Arabidopsis thaliana: one gene and its partners. The protein of the gene in region 1 interacts with the protein of each later gene in a pairwise test. Each region holds a gene or a part of one and is shown on either strand. Other genes may lie near its edges.

Evidence for each region.
Region 2: the proteins of AGL6 (region 1) and AGL53 interact in a two-hybrid assay, tested with the Arabidopsis thaliana proteins (one large-scale study listed by BioGRID).
Region 3: the proteins of AGL6 (region 1) and AGL97 interact in a two-hybrid assay, tested with the Arabidopsis thaliana proteins (one large-scale study listed by BioGRID).

What each region holds. Positions count from the first base shown.
Region 1 is NC_003071.7:18,800,907-18,809,592, forward strand, and holds AGL6 (AGAMOUS-like 6), read left to right. Parts: upstream 1-3,283; 5' UTR 3,284-3,546; coding exon 3,547-3,728; intron 3,729-4,228; coding exon 4,229-4,307; intron 4,308-4,437; coding exon 4,438-4,499; intron 4,500-4,619; coding exon 4,620-4,719; intron 4,720-4,792; coding exon 4,793-4,834; intron 4,835-4,911; coding exon 4,912-4,953; intron 4,954-5,046; coding exon 5,047-5,201; intron 5,202-5,288; coding exon 5,289-5,385; 3' UTR 5,386-5,680; downstream 5,681-8,686. Other genes in the region: SAP18 (SIN3 associated polypeptide P18), read right to left, coding at 1-47, 160-192, 307-417; AGL20 (AGAMOUS-like 20), read right to left, coding at 6,893-7,027, 7,253-7,294, 7,417-7,458, 7,562-7,661, 7,769-7,830, 8,022-8,103. UniProt on the Arabidopsis thaliana protein: Probable transcription factor. Forms a heterodimer via the K-box domain with AG, that could be involved in genes regulation during floral meristem development.
Region 2 is NC_003076.8:9,523,483-9,529,127, forward strand, and holds AGL53 (AGAMOUS-like 53), read left to right. Parts: upstream 1-4,258; coding exon 4,259-5,122; downstream 5,123-5,645. Other genes in the region: RLP53 (receptor like protein 53), read right to left, coding at 1-1,928; AT5G27065 (uncharacterized protein), read left to right, coding at 847-1,122, 1,185-1,220. UniProt on the Arabidopsis thaliana protein: Probable transcription factor that may function in the maintenance of the proper function of the central cell in pollen tube attraction.
Region 3 is NC_003070.9:17,231,612-17,237,068, reverse strand, and holds AGL97 (AGAMOUS-like 97), read left to right. Parts: upstream 1-4,117; 5' UTR 4,118-4,133; coding exon 4,134-4,934; downstream 4,935-5,457. Other genes in the region: WOX4 (WUSCHEL related homeobox 4), read left to right, coding at 1-166. UniProt on the Arabidopsis thaliana protein: Putative transcription factor.

The DNA of each region.
Region 1 (8,686 bases):
TCTTTGCCTCTCACAGCATAATCTTCACTAGTATGATGACCACCACTCTGCAATCAAACCTACCCAATTAATCCTAATTTGCAGACTAATTCAGAAACAAACATAGCCAGTTCTCCAGTGATTAAACTTGCATTCAGTAAAATCAGTGAAGAAGAGTACCTTGGTGAAAACACGAAGAAGAAGGGGACATGTCTGCGATTCGAAGGTTAAAGATAAAGAAATCAATAAGTACAGATAAAAACCCTAAAAGGAAACCCTAAAGGATGATGATTCAACGATTCGCGAATAATGAAATCGAACACAAACCTTTTCACGATCGACAGGTTCAGGTTTAGGGCGAGGAGGTTGTTGGTTAACGCCTCTCGGAGGTGGCGGTAATGGTCTCCCACCACCTTGTCTTCTCGCTGCTTCAGCCATCTCTCTTTTTCTCTCGAGAGAAATCACTACGACGAAGAAGAAGGTAATGGCACAGAGATTGATCGGACCGCTTTAGGCCCATACTTATTTAACCTAATGGGCCTTTTGTACAACAATTTGGGCCTAACTCGTTTATAGATTTTGTTGCCAATGGTCCGTTTAAAAGATTTGAAATATATATATTTTTTTTCTACTTTTTCTTTTCTTGGTTTATAACCTTTGAATATCTATATTTGAAACACACATTGAAGATCACTAACTCGAAATTCAAAAATAAAAAGAGAGACAAATATAGCAATCCATAATCAATGCATAGAGACTTCAAGTGACCTACTAGGATCCCACTAAAAAATAATATGCTGTTTTTTGCCTATTCCTTTTGCATCATTCTTGTTATAGTAAAATGGTAAAAGAAATTATGGAAAATAAGAAAATGGGGTCATTGAATGTCAAGAGGGTAACATTTTCAGACGATAAGGCGCAATGACCCCACACCTCACATGAAGCTGCAGTGCCATTTCCAAAAGAGTGTGTGGATATGAATTTGAACAAAGAAACATTGGTGATGAAATTAAAAAAGAAAAGGAAAGATTACTACAAAGTGAAAAGTATGAAATTATGAAGACTACCCGATCTTCTTTGCCTCCCTTTCCGTATTTGGCATGCCCCTAACCACTACCACAACCTCTTCCCTTCGGAACTTTGTAAATAAACATTCACTGTTTTTTTTTTTGCTTTTTAAATAGCTGTTAATTGTACAAATTCATTTACATGGCTTACTGTTTTTCAAAAGGAGATACTAAATAGTATATAGTACTATAATTTTGTCCACCATGTTCTATGAAACTCGTCCAAACATAAAAAGGTTTTTATATCATCAAACGTACGACTTTCCTTTGTTATTTTCTTGGATTGGACACAACGAGATTGGTTTGGTCACTGTCCGATCTAGTTATTGATATATATATATATATATATATATATATATATATATATATATATTTTTTTAATATAATGTAGATGTAGCCCACTAACTTTTGATAAGCTTTCATTTTTCTATACTTTCATTTTTCTATAATGTAAAAAGATAGATGAAAATGAAACTACTAGATTACAACTTTTTAACAAAAAATAAAAAACTACTAGATTACAGCTCTTGATTGGTTGATAACTTGATATCATATATCGTGTTTGTAGTTGAAGATGTAAAGATTTATCATCTTGTATTTGAATTTTGCACAATATATAATGTGATGATTCTATGTTTGTTTGTAAACTTATGTGCAAATGGGCGATAACTAAACGTTCGTAAAATAGTTACATGTACTAATTAATCGAAGCACATAAATATTATATATATATATATGTATATATATGAAACGATTCATTGATTTTAAGTATTTAATTTATTTTTTAAGATTTTAGTTGTCTTAACCTCGTACGAAGAAGAAGGATATATACTATTTAACTCGTGGAGATGATGAGGTTCGGATATTTTTCCTTAAGACCACAAGACACTGACACGCCGACTGATCGATAAAAAAAGTTAAGGCCTACAATACAAAAGAGTAGCAGATTCCCTTACACGTGTTTCATTTATGATCTGTTAATTAACTCCATTGAGCTTCAATATCTCATTAGCCGAAAATTAACTTGACGTTTTCCATTGAACTGTCGAAAAAATTTGTAGAAAAAGTGAAATGTCCCCTATTTAACTTCCAAGTTTAAAACCTAAAATTAATTAGTTACCGTTTTGATGAATAACGTTGAAAGAATCGTCAACATATCAAATGATGCAGATACAACAAGGGACAAAAACATCAAAAAATTGATTAAAAATAATCATTCAGATATTAGCAATTAAACTGTAAGTAAATGATTGCATATATATATATGAATGAATACATATATATGTATCAAACTGTAAGTAAATAATACATACATATATATATATATATATAGGAAAATATCTCATTTTTCAATCATTTTCAGAGGTAAACATTTTTAAAGACAATTTTACCTAACCCAACATCTTACTATATTTAACCAGCTCTGCGAGAGCTTCAAAACAATGATGAATTTTCTGCCCCTTTTCATTGACCAAATAAAAGTTCACAAATTTGTAAAACCAATCAGCATTAATTTCGCACGTAGTTTACTTCGTCCGATTTTAGATCAAGTAGACATTTTAACCAAACATATTGAATCACGGTTCAATCAAGATACATGGTTGCGAGTATAATATATCAATCCTTCACCGCATTAGAAAACCAAATTTTCTATTTAATTTAGCGTGTTCTTTTAATGAACGCAGCGTCAGCGACAACAAAGAAGAAAAACAGATCTGCGGCGAGAAAAAATACATTGATTAGAGAAGAACTGCCGCAAAAGATGTACGATGATGAAGATTGACGTGACGCTGCTTAATTTCAGCGATTCATTTGATGCAATTGCAATTCATCGGCTATCATCGGCGACTCATCCGAAATTGTTATTTTCAAGCTTTAATGTCGTTTTACTTACCTACTACTTCTCATGACACGTCGTTTCAGTCCGCTATTGCCGCTGGCGCAGCATCAAATAAAAGAACACGCTAGGATAGCTTGAAAAGGGTACAATAACTAGTTATAGAAGAACATGAGCCATAACATTTGGAAACAAAATGAGTTAGTTTGAATTTGAAACATCGCGCTCTATGTAAAAAAAGCAAAAAAGAAAAGAAAAGAGTCCTAATAATTAAAAAGAGAAAATAAAAGGAATTTTCAATGGTCCGACTGTTACAAGTAGATTTCCATTTTTAGGAATCTAGCTATAACGATGAAGACAGAGTTATCATTTTGTTCCATCAAATATATGACGATATTTATATTTAATTTCTTCAACAACAAATATCTCATTTGTTGGTGCCACTTTCACATACTTAGGACGACTAATAATTAATTAAAAAGGATTTATGTAATAACGCACCATATTAACCTGTAACAAGAAGAATTGAAAGTAATACAAGTTTATATATATAGCAACACATTTATCGTGTACGATACTTTATTCCTTTTATCTATTCTTGAAAAAAAGTTACCAATTCTTGAGAAGAAGAAGAAATCAGAATCAAGAGAAGGAGAGAGAAAGATGGGAAGAGGGAGAGTGGAGATGAAGAGGATAGAGAACAAGATTAATAGACAAGTGACCTTCTCAAAAAGAAGAAACGGTTTGCTGAAGAAAGCTTATGAGCTTTCTGTTCTTTGCGATGCCGAAGTTGCTCTCATCATCTTCTCAAGCCGTGGCAAGCTCTACGAGTTTGGTAGTGTTGGGTATATATATCTTTGCTCCTTTGAACCAACTTTTGTGCTATATATATTAAGATTCATCCAATAAAGCTATGTTTTTTATATGAAAATTGATTAATAAATGGGTTCATTTGCTACTTGTTACATCGTACGATTCAAGAGTCGGATCATGTTTTGATCTTGTGGTTATTCTTAATGGTTGTATCGTTTATCCTGTGGTAATTAGGGTTCATCGTTATATCGTGTCTCCCTCTTGGATCCTTTATCATAAGCTAATAGGTCCTTCCGTACGTTATAATTTGTTGATTTCCCATTCATGAATTCCTTTGATTCTTTAATCTTACAGATGACAGGTTTCAAATGGGTTTAATTCTAGCTTTAAAAAAAAAAAAAACAAACAAACTAGGGTTTTCCCTTTTAGATCAGTGTGTAAGATATATAACTTGAGTTCTTGTCGTAAGAAGAATCTTTATTTGTTGAATCGAGCTAATGATCTCCCATTTTTGTTTTAATTGAATTTGTAGAATTGAAAGCACAATCGAACGGTATAATCGTTGTTACAACTGCTCTCTAAGCAATAATAAGCCTGAAGAGACTACACAGGCAAGTGTGTGTACGTACTTTGAATATATTTACAATTATTGTTTCTGATGATAATGATTCTAGCTAACTCTATTTTCTCAAATTCTCATGTTACTATATATATGCATTTCATATAATCTATATGGTGCAGAGTTGGTGTCAGGAGGTGACAAAGCTTAAATCCAAATACGAATCTCTTGTTCGTACTAACAGGTCTAGTAATTAAGAGTTTTCTATAACCCCTTGAAATTAAATCGTTATTGTCATCTTCCATTATATATGTATAGTTACAAATCTATTGTTATGGGTGTTGATAATTGCTAATTATAAAAGGAATTTGCTTGGAGAAGATCTTGGAGAAATGGGTGTGAAGGAACTGCAAGCGCTCGAGAGGCAGCTCGAAGCCGCTCTTACCGCGACTCGACAGCGCAAGGTCACATGATCTAGACTGGTCTTGTTTCATTAAAAATATATTCATAACTAAAACATTCAACTAAAATATGCAGACACAAGTTATGATGGAAGAAATGGAAGACCTTAGGAAAAAGGCAAGTTATATAAAAATGTTTCATACCAAACTGCAAAACATATATGCATATCAATCAATCTATGTTTGAAATGGCAGGAGAGGCAACTAGGAGACATAAACAAACAACTCAAGATTAAGGTTTTTATTTCTAGACATCGCAAAATTATATTATAACTTCTCATATAATTAATTATGACATTTGGATCTTAACTAAACATAAATTTTCAATAGTTTGAAACGGAAGGCCATGCTTTCAAAACCTTTCAAGACTTATGGGCAAACTCGGCGGCATCGGTGGCCGGGGATCCAAACAATTCTGAATTTCCGGTAGAGCCTTCTCATCCTAATGTATTGGATTGCAACACCGAACCCTTTTTACAAATAGGGTAAGAATATACCATTTTTCCCGGCCCTTACAAATAAATGGATAGAAATAAGATATGATTATAAGACTTGTTTGGTATTTGGATTAGGTTTCAACAACATTACTACGTGCAAGGTGAAGGGTCTTCGGTATCAAAGAGTAACGTGGCAGGTGAGACTAATTTCGTCCAAGGTTGGGTTCTTTGACTCTCTGTTGATTAGACCACGATGCCACGGTCAGGCCAATTTCAGCTCTCTACAGTTGTTCTTTTTTCAAATTAGATTTCTGGGTTTTTTTTTCCTATAAGAAAAACTTTTGCACTAGATGTTTGTCATTTAATTTCCAGCTCGTGTGAATCTATATTCGCATGTATGTGCTTTGAAGAATTTCTCCTCTTACTCCTACTTGATCTAAAACATTATTTTTGTTTTGGTTTTACCAACATTTTCCAAATGAAATAAACTTTAATAATTGTTCTAAAATCAATTAAATGAATAGATTTATTTGGCATGAATACTATTAAATCTCAGACATATATTTATGAATGCTGAATTGTGAATAGTAGGAACAAATAATAAATCGTGCGACGTCGAATCAATTGGGTGACGAATAATCAAAGGAGGATTCAGCTCAACTACGCAAGTAGGAGTAATGAACTTCCGAAACAATTGGGTGAGTAAATGAAATCAACCTGTAACTAAAAAAATGAACGAATAATAAAATGCCACGTAGTTGACCTTGGAAAAAGCGCAATGATATGAAGCCAGGTAGGACCCACATTGCTGTTTCTTGATTTGACTTTTGGAAGAGAAGAGCTCCTCTTTCTTTAGCAAACTTTACTGTTGTTGATATATGTCTTTTCCATAAAGTCTTCATATTTATTGAGGTTTTTTTTTTTTTTTTACATACTAGAATTTAAGTTTTTAATACTCTCTTATATTTATGGGCTGTTATCGCAAAGTAGGCCCTTTTATAAGTGGGCCATTACAAAATAAATTCATGGGCCCATATAAATGTTAACGGCACATGTCATATCACAATCATGTATCTCTATTATCTAAAGATTCTAAACGATTTGAAATATTGGATTATGCGTATAATGTTTTTTTTTTCTTTGATGGGCTAAAAGCCTCTACAACATTTGGATTTATGCCCTAAATCTCCTCTCCCGGTGATCTTTTGAACTTGCTTGGGGGGGACGCAACTTCTTCCAAGACAGTCACACATGCTACTAGACCGATCTTTGTATTGTAGAGTTGCCACCGTTGTCGTGTATCAGCTCTTCATCTGAAATGATGCAGTTATTGATTTTTGGCCAATGGATAATGTTTAATGTGCTCTCATAATTTTCTTTATATTTTTTTACCAGTTTGGGAAGTTCTAGACCTCTAGTCTCTCGACTTGAGAAACCAGTAAGTTATATAGTACAGATATTCCTGATTTTATGATTTTGAGGGAAGAAAGCTAAATTGATACATGAAAACAAAACATAATCAAAATTACATTCTAGAGAGGCAAGTGTAAGAACATAGATACATAACACAAGCAGTTCAGAATCATTAAAGAAGTGACTGAGAGAGAGAGAGTGAGAGAGAAATAAGACAACAAGAGAGAAGCAGCTTTAGAGTTTTGTTACTTGTCCTTATACACTCTCAGTACTGCTAAACCTGTTTTTACTTAGTTTGTTTTTTTGTTTTTTTTGTTGAGTGGAGATCACTTTCTTGAAGAACAAGGTAACCCAATGAACAATTGCGTCTCTACTTCAGAACTTGGGCTACTCTCTTCATCACCTCTTCCAGTACTTTCTTGATTCTTATTTGACCAAACTTCGCTTTCATGAGATCCCCACTGCATTCAAATAGAATTATTACACAAAATTAATAGATGCAAATTAGAAGATATATAGAACAATACATAAATTAAAGAAGGTTGATGATTGAAGATAACCAAGAAAAACTAGTAAGGACTCTCCTAACCTAATAACCCCCAAAAAGAACCCCAACTTTCTTATCTTTACCGAATAAAAAAACGAATGTGCAACCCTAACTTGAGACCCATAAGAATATATTATACCTTTTCAGAGAGCTTCTCGTTTTCTGCAGCTAGAGCTTTCTCCTGCAAAAGTTTTAGATTCCAATTTGTAAAAAGCAAGCACAAGAGGCTTACTTACTTGGAATATTACACAATTTGCATACATACTTATATCTGTTTATATACACTCATAAAAACTACTTTACCTTTTGCTTGAGCTGCTCAATTTGTTCCTTAAACACTTGAGTCTAAAAGAGATGAGAAATTGAGTTATAATTATGAGTGGTTTCAGAAGATGATTCGAACAATACTTATAATGTGGAGATATAACAGATAAATATATACACATACCTTTCTTGCTCGAATACATTTGACACTTTTCTCAAGCTGTTGCTCAATCTGTTGCAGCTCCTCGATTGAGCATGTTCCTATGCCTTCTCCCAAGAGTTTACTGATTACAAAAACAAAACACTAATTGATCAAACTCTCCTATGCATCATGAAATAGATATATACAAGTGATGAATAATGTGTTTGTATATATGTATATATCACAAACCGTTTAGAAGCTTCGAGTTGTTCAATTTTCTTCATCATGTTTGCTGCTTCATATTTCAAATGCTGTTGGTTATATCACAGAAATGTTATTGCATGTACATATATATCCTAATTATAAATATGTGACTTGATCCTGTGACCTTGAGATTATATACATATTGTGGTTATATTCATTACCGCTCTTTGATATTATATAGTAAAAGTATTAATTAGCAAGAATTGATATATAGGCAAGAAGATCATAAAGAATAAACCTGCATATTTTCTTCAGAAACCGGTTTGGTGCTGACTCGATCCTTAGTATGCCTCAGATAACGATCTATGGTATCTTGCATACTGTCAAAAACATATATAATTGGAACATTAAAGTAAATCATCAGAGATCAAATTTAGATCCCAATGGTGTTCTCAAAACATTTCTTATTGAAGATATCACTAGACTTAATCAAGGACATAGCTTGAAAAGTCTTGTACTTTTTCCCCCTATTTTAGAAAATCAAAAACATGTGAGGTCTTATCTTTATATTTAGTAGGTTCGAGAGAAAGAAGTACTTTCCCAAATGGACCAAATGTCTGAAACATCTGATCAAAAGCTGGCATTTTCATTTACAGAAGTAATGATTCATCAAAAGTAAGTTTGGTTTCCCTACTACCTAACAGTACAAGATAAAACTCTTTTGATTCTCAAAAACAATCAACATTTAGGTTTGGCTAGCTAGCTTTGAGTTTCTATGTCAAAATCAGGAACAAATATTCAAACAAATTGAACTAAATTAGGAATGAGCATGAAATGAAGCATGAGGGATTAATAAATCAGGAATGATGAAACAACTTCCTAATCATCACTTAGAAATTAGAACAACATGTTTTGCTTAAAGCAATAACAAGACAAAGATTAGTTCAAACCAAAAGAATACTA
Region 2 (5,645 bases), on another chromosome or scaffold:
CCCACTAGCTGGTTATGGCCGACATCAAGAGACCTCAGTATTTCAAATATTTGCTTTGGAAGACCTCCGCTAAGATGATTCTGACGAAGGTTTAGAACTGAAAGAGTACTCTTGAGATGTCCCATGCAACGAGGGATTGAACCATTAAAGTTGTTGTCAGATAAATCGAGTGTGTTTAGAGAACGCAACCCGCATATGAAAGAAGGAATCTTGCCTATGAAGTTATTGTTGGAGCCAAGCAAGTACAGCAGAGATGGTTCAGGTTTCGATGGTCTTTGGAAACCGATTAAAGTGTTGTTGGAAAGATTCACGTAGTACAAGATTGGTAGCCTCCATAACCAGTCAGGAACTTGACCTTTGATTTTGTTGTTGGAAATGTCTAGAAACCCCAATTCGTGTTGGGTTCTTACGAACTCTGGAAATTCAGTGATACCGCACCCTGACAAGTACAAAGATTGTATCAATTGCGAAGGAGGATCTGAAACTGAACTTTTGTTTGTGGCCGAAACATGGTTGCCTGAGAGATCCAATAAAAGGAGCCTTTTGAAATATGATAAGAAATAGTTCAAGTCGATCCTAGTGGTGGTGTTCAAATGGGATATGTTTAGATCTAGGAGTGACTTGAGATGGGAGAAGATACTAAAGTCAACTGGGCCTTGGGTGTTTAAATGGGAAATGTCAAGTCGGAAAAGTTTGACTAATTTGGAAATGGAACTAGGGATTGGTCCTATGAAGTTGTTGTTGCCAATGTCTAACTCATATAGGTTAGATGGTGAAGATATATTTCCAAACTCAAGAGTGCCTTTGAGTTGGTTACCATTCAAACGAATGTAAGTCAAAGAAGGAATGGTGAAGAGAAAAGAAGGGAACGTTCCGGTGAAGGCGTTGTCACTTGCATCAAAATCCATCAAGTTGGATAGTGAAGTGATATTAGGAGGAAGCGTGCCTGTGAACTTATTGTTGGAGAGTGATAAAAGTGACAACCCTGTCAAGTTCAGTAGGACATTGGGAAAGTTTCCGCTGAGCTTATTGTCATCAACATATAAGCGGGTCAGCTGGTTTAGATTGCCAAAAGAAGATGGGATTTCACCAACGAAATTGTTACTAAAGAGGCCGAGAAAGGTAAGTTGAGAAAGGTTTCCAATAAAAGATGGAATCTGACCCGAAAAATTGTTATTAGAAAGGTCGAGAGTGGTGAGATTAGAAAGATTTCCAATTGAAGATGGAATCTGACCCGAAAATTTGTTACTGAAAAGGCTGAGAGTGGTGAGATGAGAAAGACCTCCGATAGAAGACGGAAACTGACCAAAAAACCGATTATAAGAAAGATCTAGAAAAGTGAGATGAGAAAGATTACAAATTGATGATGGAGCCTGACCCGAAAATTGATTATCAAAAAGGTTGAGATAGGTGAGACGAGAAAGGTTTCCGATTGAATTCAGAATCTGACCCGAAAAATGATTAGAAGAAAGGTCGAGATAGGTGAGATGAGAAAGATTTTCAATTGATGACGTGATTTGACCTTTAAAATCATTAAATGAAAGGTCTAGAGTGGTTAGGAAATGAAGGTTTCGAATACTGCTGTTGGAATGAAACCGGCCATGGAGAGAGCTGCAGCTTAGGTCTAGCTCGATCACTTCCCCGGACTTGGCATTGCACGTGACTCCCTCCCAATTACAACAGTCGCTGTTATTCCCCCATGAGTCCGTCTTCCGAGGAGATTCAATGCCATAAATCTTACAATGATCAGGAGAAGGCTTCCCAATCTCAAACTCGTTTTTGAACGCGAGGAGTGCATCCCTTTGTTCGGGACGACACAAGTTCCTAGTTGGAGCCGCAAGCACGTCCAGAAAATGACAAATGAATAAGAAAATAAAAGAGAGAGTAATACGAATGATACTCTTTGAGTTCCAAAAGCCTTCCATCATTCTTAAGCTAATTTAATTTTCTTGAATATTGATAGTGAAAAAGCAAAAAAATAAAATCTGGAAATTGTGATGGTACGTAACATGTTTTCATGCCCATCTCTTTATATACAAAAATAATAGACTCTATTCCACAAAGATAATTCCAACACAGCTTGACCCTCCGAGGCGTTTTTCACGTTAAACGCAACGACTTAAAAAGTCTTTACGTTGAATAATGTCCATTTCCACTCCTTTTGTCTTACTTTTTAGTTACGTACAGGGAACATGAAAAAAAAACGTTGTATTTTGTCCAGCCAAATTAAATTGATCGTGGAAAATGAATTCTGCAGGTAAGCAATGACTTGTTCATTGTTACTAGTGCTAGTGAATAGTGATGATCGACAGCGTCAAGAGTCAATCCCCATCGATGTATTAATTTTGCGCAAAAAAAACAACTGGGCTAGGGCCCAACAATGAAGGCGGATAAAAGAAAACGAAGGCCCATTTTACCATATGTCAGCGAACTCGGAAGAGTATAAATATTCCTCTTTGTGTTTACTTAAAACTAAAATTTGGGACTATTTTATAAAAAACTAATAAGGCCGCCTAAATAGGCGGGTGTGTGATTTAGATGTAAATCTTTATTGACAGTATTCAAATGTTGAATAATAAAATAGTAATTTATATTTTTTTTGACAATTAATTTAATATTTTTTTATTTAACAAAATTTGATGCTTATACATTCTCTTTTATCATACATTTTAATTCTACACATTCAAGCTTATTGATGATATTTGAATTCTAAATAATAACCTACAAATTTCTATCTTACACATTCAATTTTGCAATACAATTTAAGTATCTATTTCATCATAATATACTCGATTTTCATTCTAAACACTTCATCTTAAGTGAATTTTTTTTTATTAAAAAAATATATTTATATCAGATCTAATATATATCTTTGTTGATATTAAAAAAATAATAAACAGTAAACAAAACTTAACAAAAAAAAAATCCACAAAAATATTTGAAAAGCAAAACTTTTTAAAATGTTTCTTTATATATGGCGTAATTTTCTCTTATGTAAACTTATTTTAAATGAGTTAAAATTAATTAAAAAATATACTAACTTCTTTTTAAGTAATTGAAAAGTAAATCATATAAGTTGTTCTCTCCAAAAATCTTGTGTTTTAACTTATGACTACATGCGTTAAATTTTTTACAATAAAACATAGTTATAAGCTTTTAGTGACATATCAAAGGATCCAAGTTGCTCAATCACCGAATACGTTAAAATTCTTAGAATAAATCTTAAATATTTAAAAATTTATTATAATAAGGTCACTAAATTTTAAAAATATTTTTGTGTTCAAAATTTAACAAATGAAAACACTATATTACAATGATAAACACAATTTTATCCAATTAAATTAATTTTAAATAAATTATATTGTTATTTTAAACTTAAGTGGTCTTTTTAATTAGTTATTATTCATACTTAATGATTTTTCTTTTAAATTAATACATGATTATTTATTTAATTGACCAATAATATATGTGTTTTCAAATTTGTTAATTTTCTTTTTTGTTAAGAAAAATAAAGTTTAAATATTGTTAGATATATATAAATTAATATATGTAAATTTTTCTTTTTAAGGTTTTTTATTTTTTTAAGAGAATTAAAAAGTTAAATCTTTAATGACACATGTAAACATCTCAATGTTAGATTTGACACGTGCCACAATCTTATGAGGTAGTAATTTTGAAAACTGTACTTTATATAATAAGAAATTAATATATGTAAATTTTTCTTTTTAAGGTTTTCTATTTTTTTAAGAAAATTAAAAAGTTAAATCTTTAATGACACATATAAACTTCTCATTATTAGACTTGACACGTGCCACAATCTTATGAGTTAGTAACTTTAAAAACTATACTTTATATAATAAGATACTGGATGTGGGAAATCGTATCTAAGATCGTATCTACAACGGTTACATTGATATTGGTAAAGGAAAATCGTATCTAATTAAGATTTATCTCATAGACAGCAAACAAAAAGGGAATTTCATTACTTAAATATCACAACGGTTAGATTAATAGAAGTAAATCATCATCATTTAACGAAGAAAAGATACTCTAAAGAAAAAGGAAATAAAACCCACAGCTCAATTTGTCTCTCTTGGTTTAGTAAAATCAATATCAAATATTATATGGAAATACAAGAATTTCACAATTCTATATAACCCTGAACCGTGTGTTAGTTACACTAAGTTTATTTTCTAGGTTTCTCTCTGATAAGAAACTAGGTATCTTCTTCTTCTTTTTCTGTGGGTAAACAACAACAATGGATTCTTCAATGTCGACGAAGAAGAAAACCAAATTGTCTGTGAGAAACCAAACTTGTTTCAAGAAATCGTCCCTGTCTTCTTCTTCTACTGCAAAAAAGACCACGAATTTGTCTATGAGAGAACAGACCATGTTCAAGAAAGCCTTGGAGCTTTCAACTCTGTGCAACATCGATGTCTGTGTCATATACTATGGTCGTGACGGAAAACTCATCAAGACATGGCCGGAGGATCAATCAAAAGTTCGAGACATGGCTGAGAGGTTTAGCAGATTACACGAGAGAGAGCGATGCAAGAAAAGAACCAACCTTTCTCTGTTTCTACGTAAGAAGATCCTCGACGACACTAAATTGTCGGAGAAAGTCTTAGAGATGGAGGATTCGTTAGAAAGTGGTCTACGAGTACTACAAGATAAGCTTCTGTTACTCCAACCCGAGAAAAACCAGACCGAGTTTGGTCAGACCCGTGCGGTTTCTTCCACAACGAATCCATTGTCTCCTCCTCCTTCGCTAATTGAGGATCATCGTCATCAACAATGGACAGAACCATTGATGAGTGGTGTGTCAAACACAGAGCAAGACCTATCGACGTCATCATTGAGTCAAAATCAGAGCAGAATTTCAGTCTTTCTCTATAACCATGACAACCGTAGCTTCTATCAAGTCCCTGACTCAGTTTCTAGCTTTGACCAATCGGCTTTACTTGGGGAACAAGGATCTGGTCTAGGAAGTAACTTTGATCTTCCTCCCATGGTTTTTCCTCCTCAGATGCAGACACAAACCCCACTTGTCCCCTTTGATCAGTTTGCGGCATGGAATCAAGCACCGTCGTTTGCAGATCCAATGATGTTCCCTTATAATTAGTTCTTGTTGTTCCAAAAACTGATCTTTGACTTGGTGTACGTTTTATAATGATCTATTATATATGTATTCTTCATTTAGATTATGAGTTTAACTGTCTCTTCTTGTGCCTGATTACGAGTTTGTATTGAATTGTATGTTTTCCCAAGTATGAATGCTATTTTCTCAAGTTTCTAAAAACAGTCTTGGCTTCTTCTATAATTGTCTGAGTCTTATATTTGAGTTTGAAAACCTGCTATGTTCAGATTTTTAATATACAATAGATATTGAAGGTTAGATGTCGATAATTTATGCAGAGAAGCCAACTTTGATGAGTCAGATGCTTTGGTGACAGCTTCCAACAAAAAATGTTGTTAAAAGTAGTGTTTTGTCCAAGAGGTGGAAAAACTCTGGCTTTGTTGGATATTTGATGCCAATGAATTTGCAGATTACAATGCCTAAGTGAGTTTTGTCTACGTATATACGCCAATAATGAAGCTATACAGTTGCTTATCTCGTTTTACCCGATTCTTGAAGATTTGAGTAT
Region 3 (5,457 bases), on another chromosome or scaffold:
AGTGGAAGAGAATGAGTACAAGAGGACATGTAGGAGCTGGGGATTTGAGAACTTGGAGATAGAGAACAGGAGAAACAAAAATAGTAGTACTATGGCAACTACTTTTAATAAAATCATTGACAATGTAACCCTCGAGCTTTTTCCTCTCCATCCTGAAGGGAGATGAAGTCATGAAGGTGAGGCAGAAAATTGTGGAATTCTTATGTAGATCTGGTTTAGGTTCAGAGGAATCAATTGGTATCTAGAAATTCAAAATAAAAATAAAAATAGGAATAAGTCTCTAAAACTACAAAATCTACTTAAGAATTCCCTTATTAATCTGCGAGTTTGATGTATCCTATGTAGATTATTTTTGCGATGTAATCTTAATTATGAATGCTCAGTTTAGCTCATCTTTTTTTCGCGTTTATTCTTGACAAATTCACTAGTGATCAGTTGTACTCTCTTCTGATTTGGCCATCTAAGTATTTCTCTAGATCGTTGGTATGTAGGAATGTTTCATTTAGAGAAATTTCTGAATAAAGACACATTTGATGTTGTTAAAATAATATCTCTGTCTTAATTCCTACGTACGTACAAGAGCAAGAAGTTAAAAGGAAATAATAATAGCATTTCCCGTTGAAAAGGGGGTAGACCTAGTATATTTCTATATAAACAAACATTGAAATCTAAAACTTTTTGTACTGTTATATACTTATATTAAAACTCTTAGTAAAACAGGTGACTCAATAATATTTATATTAATTTTTTATTTTTGATAAATATATACTAAATAAGTTTATGAGATGATAACAAGAAGAATCTTTTCAAGAATTTGATATTTCCAATGGAATGTGTACAAAGACATCAATATATGTAAGCTGTGGTGTGTATGTGGTTAGTTGTTTGTCTGATGCTTTATTGACTCTCGCAAGTGGTTGTTTTGTATTTTGGTTGAAACAAAGAGAGAGTTTTGCTTTTTAGGTTAAAAGTTGAAATGGCATTATATGAGACACACTCACTGAAGTCCATGCACTCGCTTTCCCGCTACATTGCATGCTAGCTAGCTGTTTCTATACATACGCAGATATATGTAGCTCTTCTATATTTTCGCACTTAATTATTGTAAGTGACATTCTTCTTTTCATTTTGGTTATATGCCGATAATTTTGTTTTATTTTCTGATAGCTAACTTCTACTTGGTTGTTAATTATATACCAATTTTCCTTCTTTTTTTCTTTTAAATGTTGATGCAACGTAAAACAAAACTGTATATTTCTACAGTGATTTTAAATAAACGCTAAACTTAAAATAATCTTTTTTGGTAAAGGGTTTAAGATAAATTATAACTTTGTTGGACATCAATTAAACATATATAGAAGTACTCTAAGTTTCTTTATGTTTAGATTATGATTTCTAATTGAAACAAACACATTTCCAGCTAAGTTTATCTTTAATAACCAAACTACCTAATATTTTAAGTCTATCTTTACCGGTAATCATATTCTCAAATGATTATTTGCCATGCATTATGAATTGGTTGCCCGTGGGCGTGGGGCATGGCGTTCCATTACTTATAATCTTGGAGGGAAGCAAGATTGAAATTTAGAAATAAAGAACTTTATTCAATTGGTAATGGGACCATGACTATTTTTTCAATAATTCAATGTTTCTTGGTTTTCACGTGTACATATATATAAGTCCAAAATAATTTCAAACACATAGTATTCAAATAGTATTAGGCCTATCGAAACCGGTTTTGGCCAGGCCGGTCAGCTTGCTACATGTATGGGTTAGCAAACAACGGGCTTCGTGGGCTCTACGACGGCAATGTGTTGGAATTGTATCCTTGATTGAATCTGAAAAAGAAGAAGAAGAATCCATGAGAAGAAGAAGATGAAGAACAGAGGAAGAAGAAGATGATGTCGTGAAGAGAAGAGTCAAAGGAAGAGAAGAAAGTCAACAAACATATGGGCTTTGTGTTTTGTAATATGGTTGTAATGGGCTGAAGATGAATTAGGCCCAAGTATGTTTAGTTAAAGAGTGTTGTGTTGTAAGTCTAAGTTAGAGTAGAAGAGTGAATCAAGGAGTGAGAGTTCCAATGTATGTAGAAGTAGGTCTTGTGTAAGAGCCATCATTAGGTCTAAGTGCAAGTGTGCAAGTGTGTGTGTGTCTCAAGTAGAAGTAGTTTATGTATGTGTGTCCTTGTGTTGTGTAAGAGTAACCAAGTAATTAACAATGTAGTCTTTGGAGGAAAACGCTTTTGTGTCTCTCTAGAACAAAGAATAAAATCTGTGTGAGAGACAAGAGAGCAAGAGATCTAACTAAAGTGGTTAGATATGTGAGAATTACAACACAATGTCATATATGTATACATCAGAATATTAAACCTACAAAACAAAAGTAGCTCTGGAAATCTCAATAATGTAGTCTCTTAGAAGGATCCACAAAGGCCACAGAGAAGAAAACATAATGCTTAATAACAAAGATGAACAATGTGGATTTTGCCAGAATATTTATGGCTGTGAGCTTGTTTCTTCAAGAAGTCTCTACCTTTTAACTTCTCAAAAATCAAGTTTCTTAAACAAGTCTTCAATGCTGAGGATGTCACAGAAGAAGTCTTCAACAAACCTGTAGCCATGTTTTGATCACAGAAGAATCAGTACTTATATGTTTCTAATTGATACAAGATTCTTCTCCAGCAAAACCCTGATTTCTTCTTCCAAATCTCACTTGTTCTTCTTTCAGAATCTTCCATACGAATCTTTGATTCTGTTGTAATTCTCACAATCTCTCTATTTCTCACACTCCTTTACGGTTTCATTGTCTTTAGAGAGAAAGAACAAAAACTATTTTCTTTTAATCTTCTACTTTGATAATATTCTTGGATACTCTTACACAACACAAACAACACATACATATAGTGGTTTTGCTCCACTTGGTAGACTACACACACTTAGACTCTAGACCACATCATTGTCCTAAGACTTACATCATCCACTCTACTATGTTGGAACTCCAACACCTTAATTCACTCTCTTAGTTTACTTTAGTTGTCACAACCTCTTCTTGTTGGACCTTAACTAGACAACTTGTACAAAACACTTATTCGTATGGGCCTTATCTCATTACCTATGACCCAACACACAAAACACAAACCCATTTGGTTTGTTGACTTTCTTCTCTTCCTTTGACTCCTCTCTTCACGACGTCTCTTCTCCGCCATCGTCTTCTTCTTCCGTTGCTTCTTCCTTTGTTCTTCATCTTCTTCTTCTCACCAAGCTTGTTATTCTTGTAGGATTTAGTTTAGGATACTCAATTCCAACAGATTCTCGTAATCTCCATATCTAGATCCTCTTCCGAATCCGTAATCACCAATTCACCATTATCAACCAAAAGCTTGAGTTTTTGTTGTGTATCGGACATTGATTCACCAGCATAAAACAGAGATTCCATACTAGGGTTTGAGATTGTATTCTTCAATACTGTGTCGTCTTCTTCTTCCTCACAAAGTTTGCAATTTTGGTTTTTGGATTCGTAACGGTCACAAAGAGAAGAAGAGAGGCTCCTAAATATTTTGTTGTATTGACGCTTTTACCCTTCATAACGGTCTTATTTTATTGACCGTTGACCAAACCGGTTAAAGGAAGAATTTGCATGTTGGTTTACTCGTCCTCCTTCGCTTATTAGACAATCAGTAGTAAACAAATTCACCGACTAAACCAAAAATTCCACTAAATACAGATTCGGTTTAACTAAACCGGTCTTTGTTTGTATTAGATGGTTTTGAGTAATTTACTTTTAGAAAAGGAAACAGTTTTAATTTTTCGTTTAATTACCGATTAGGGTATTATCAGTAAAAAAGGAAATCAAAATCGATGTTGTTTCAGGTGGTTTTGTGTACTAATTACTTTCAAAAAAGGAAAACAAGTTTATTTAGTCGTTTAATTACTGATTAGCAATTATCAGAAAAAGGAAATAACATGGATTAATTAGAAAACGAGTTAGGGCTACTAAGTCTATATATATATCTATCTGATTAGAACGAGAGTGAGTCCATTATCATATTCTTCTTTCGCAACAAGCGGCAGCACACAAAACTCTCAAGTCTTGTCTCGTTCTCTTTTGTTTGTGAAACTGAGAAAAAAAACAGAATGGGTGGCGTGAAGAGGAAGATTGCTATAGAGAAGATACAGAACAAAAATCCACGAGCGGTTTCATTCTCCAAACGTCGTAAGGGTCTGTATAGCAAAGCTTCTGAACTTTGTCTTCTCTCGGACGCAGAGATTGCGATCATAGCGACTCCTGTTTCTTCTAATTCCAACGCCGCTTTCTACAGTTTTGGCCACTCCTCTGTTGATAATGTCGTCGCTGCTTTTCTCGCCAATCAGCGTCCTTGTGATGAAAGGTTTTGGTGGGAAGATGAGAGTCTTCTAAAATCAGAGAATCTGGAGGAGTTGAGAGAGGCGATGGATTCAATGTCGACTATGTTGCGAGATCTCAAGGAGTTGGAGAAGCAAAGAGATCATCAAACGCAAACCCTAATTCATCAGCCGTGTTCTGCAAGGGTTTGCATTCAAGATTATGTAACTGTGAATTTCGATGGGTTTAACACGGAAGAGCAAACCCTAGCGGTTTCTGACAATAGTAACAACAACGGTTTACTTGGAAACTTGGATGAGTGCAATGAAGATTTTGATGATCTCGATCAAATCTTCGATACGGTGACAAACTCTGAATTTTTATCGGTGAATTTGGAGATGGATGATGTAACTGTGAATTCTGAAGGGAACACGGAAGAGCAAACCCTAGCGGTTTCTGACAATAGCAACAACAACGGTTTACTTGGAAACTTGGATGAGTGCAATGAAGATTTTGATGATCTCGATCAAATCATTGAGTATTTGACAAGCTCTGAAGCTTTATCCATGAATTTAAAGATGGATGATGTCTGATGCATGCCTCTATGGTGACAATTTGTGTTTATGTTGAAATTGGATCCTTGATTTAAGTATTGCTTCGGTTTAGTATATCTTTGTATGTCTTTTATCAGCTTATGACTTTATTTGATCTGCGTGATATTTTCGTATATCTAACCAAAACATAAGAGCATCCCCAACCACAATACACCAAATTTTAACACCAAATTTGATATTTTGGTGTTTCAATTGTTTTATCATCTCCAACCATAACACCAATTTCACACTAAAAATATTACTTTTTATTATAATATTATTAAACTTAAGATTTTCTTTATTTTTTTAATAGTTTGATATACATAACATATTTCATAACTAAATTATTTTAACTTAATTAATATAAGATTACAATCGATAAATTGAAAATAACAAAAAAAAATTACATTGTACTAATTCTCAGAATTAGTATATACGGACCACAAGTGTTCAATTAATGCATTTCGAAGTTTAATATGAGCTTCACGGTCTTTGATTTTCCTGTGTCGAGCTAAAAATTCTT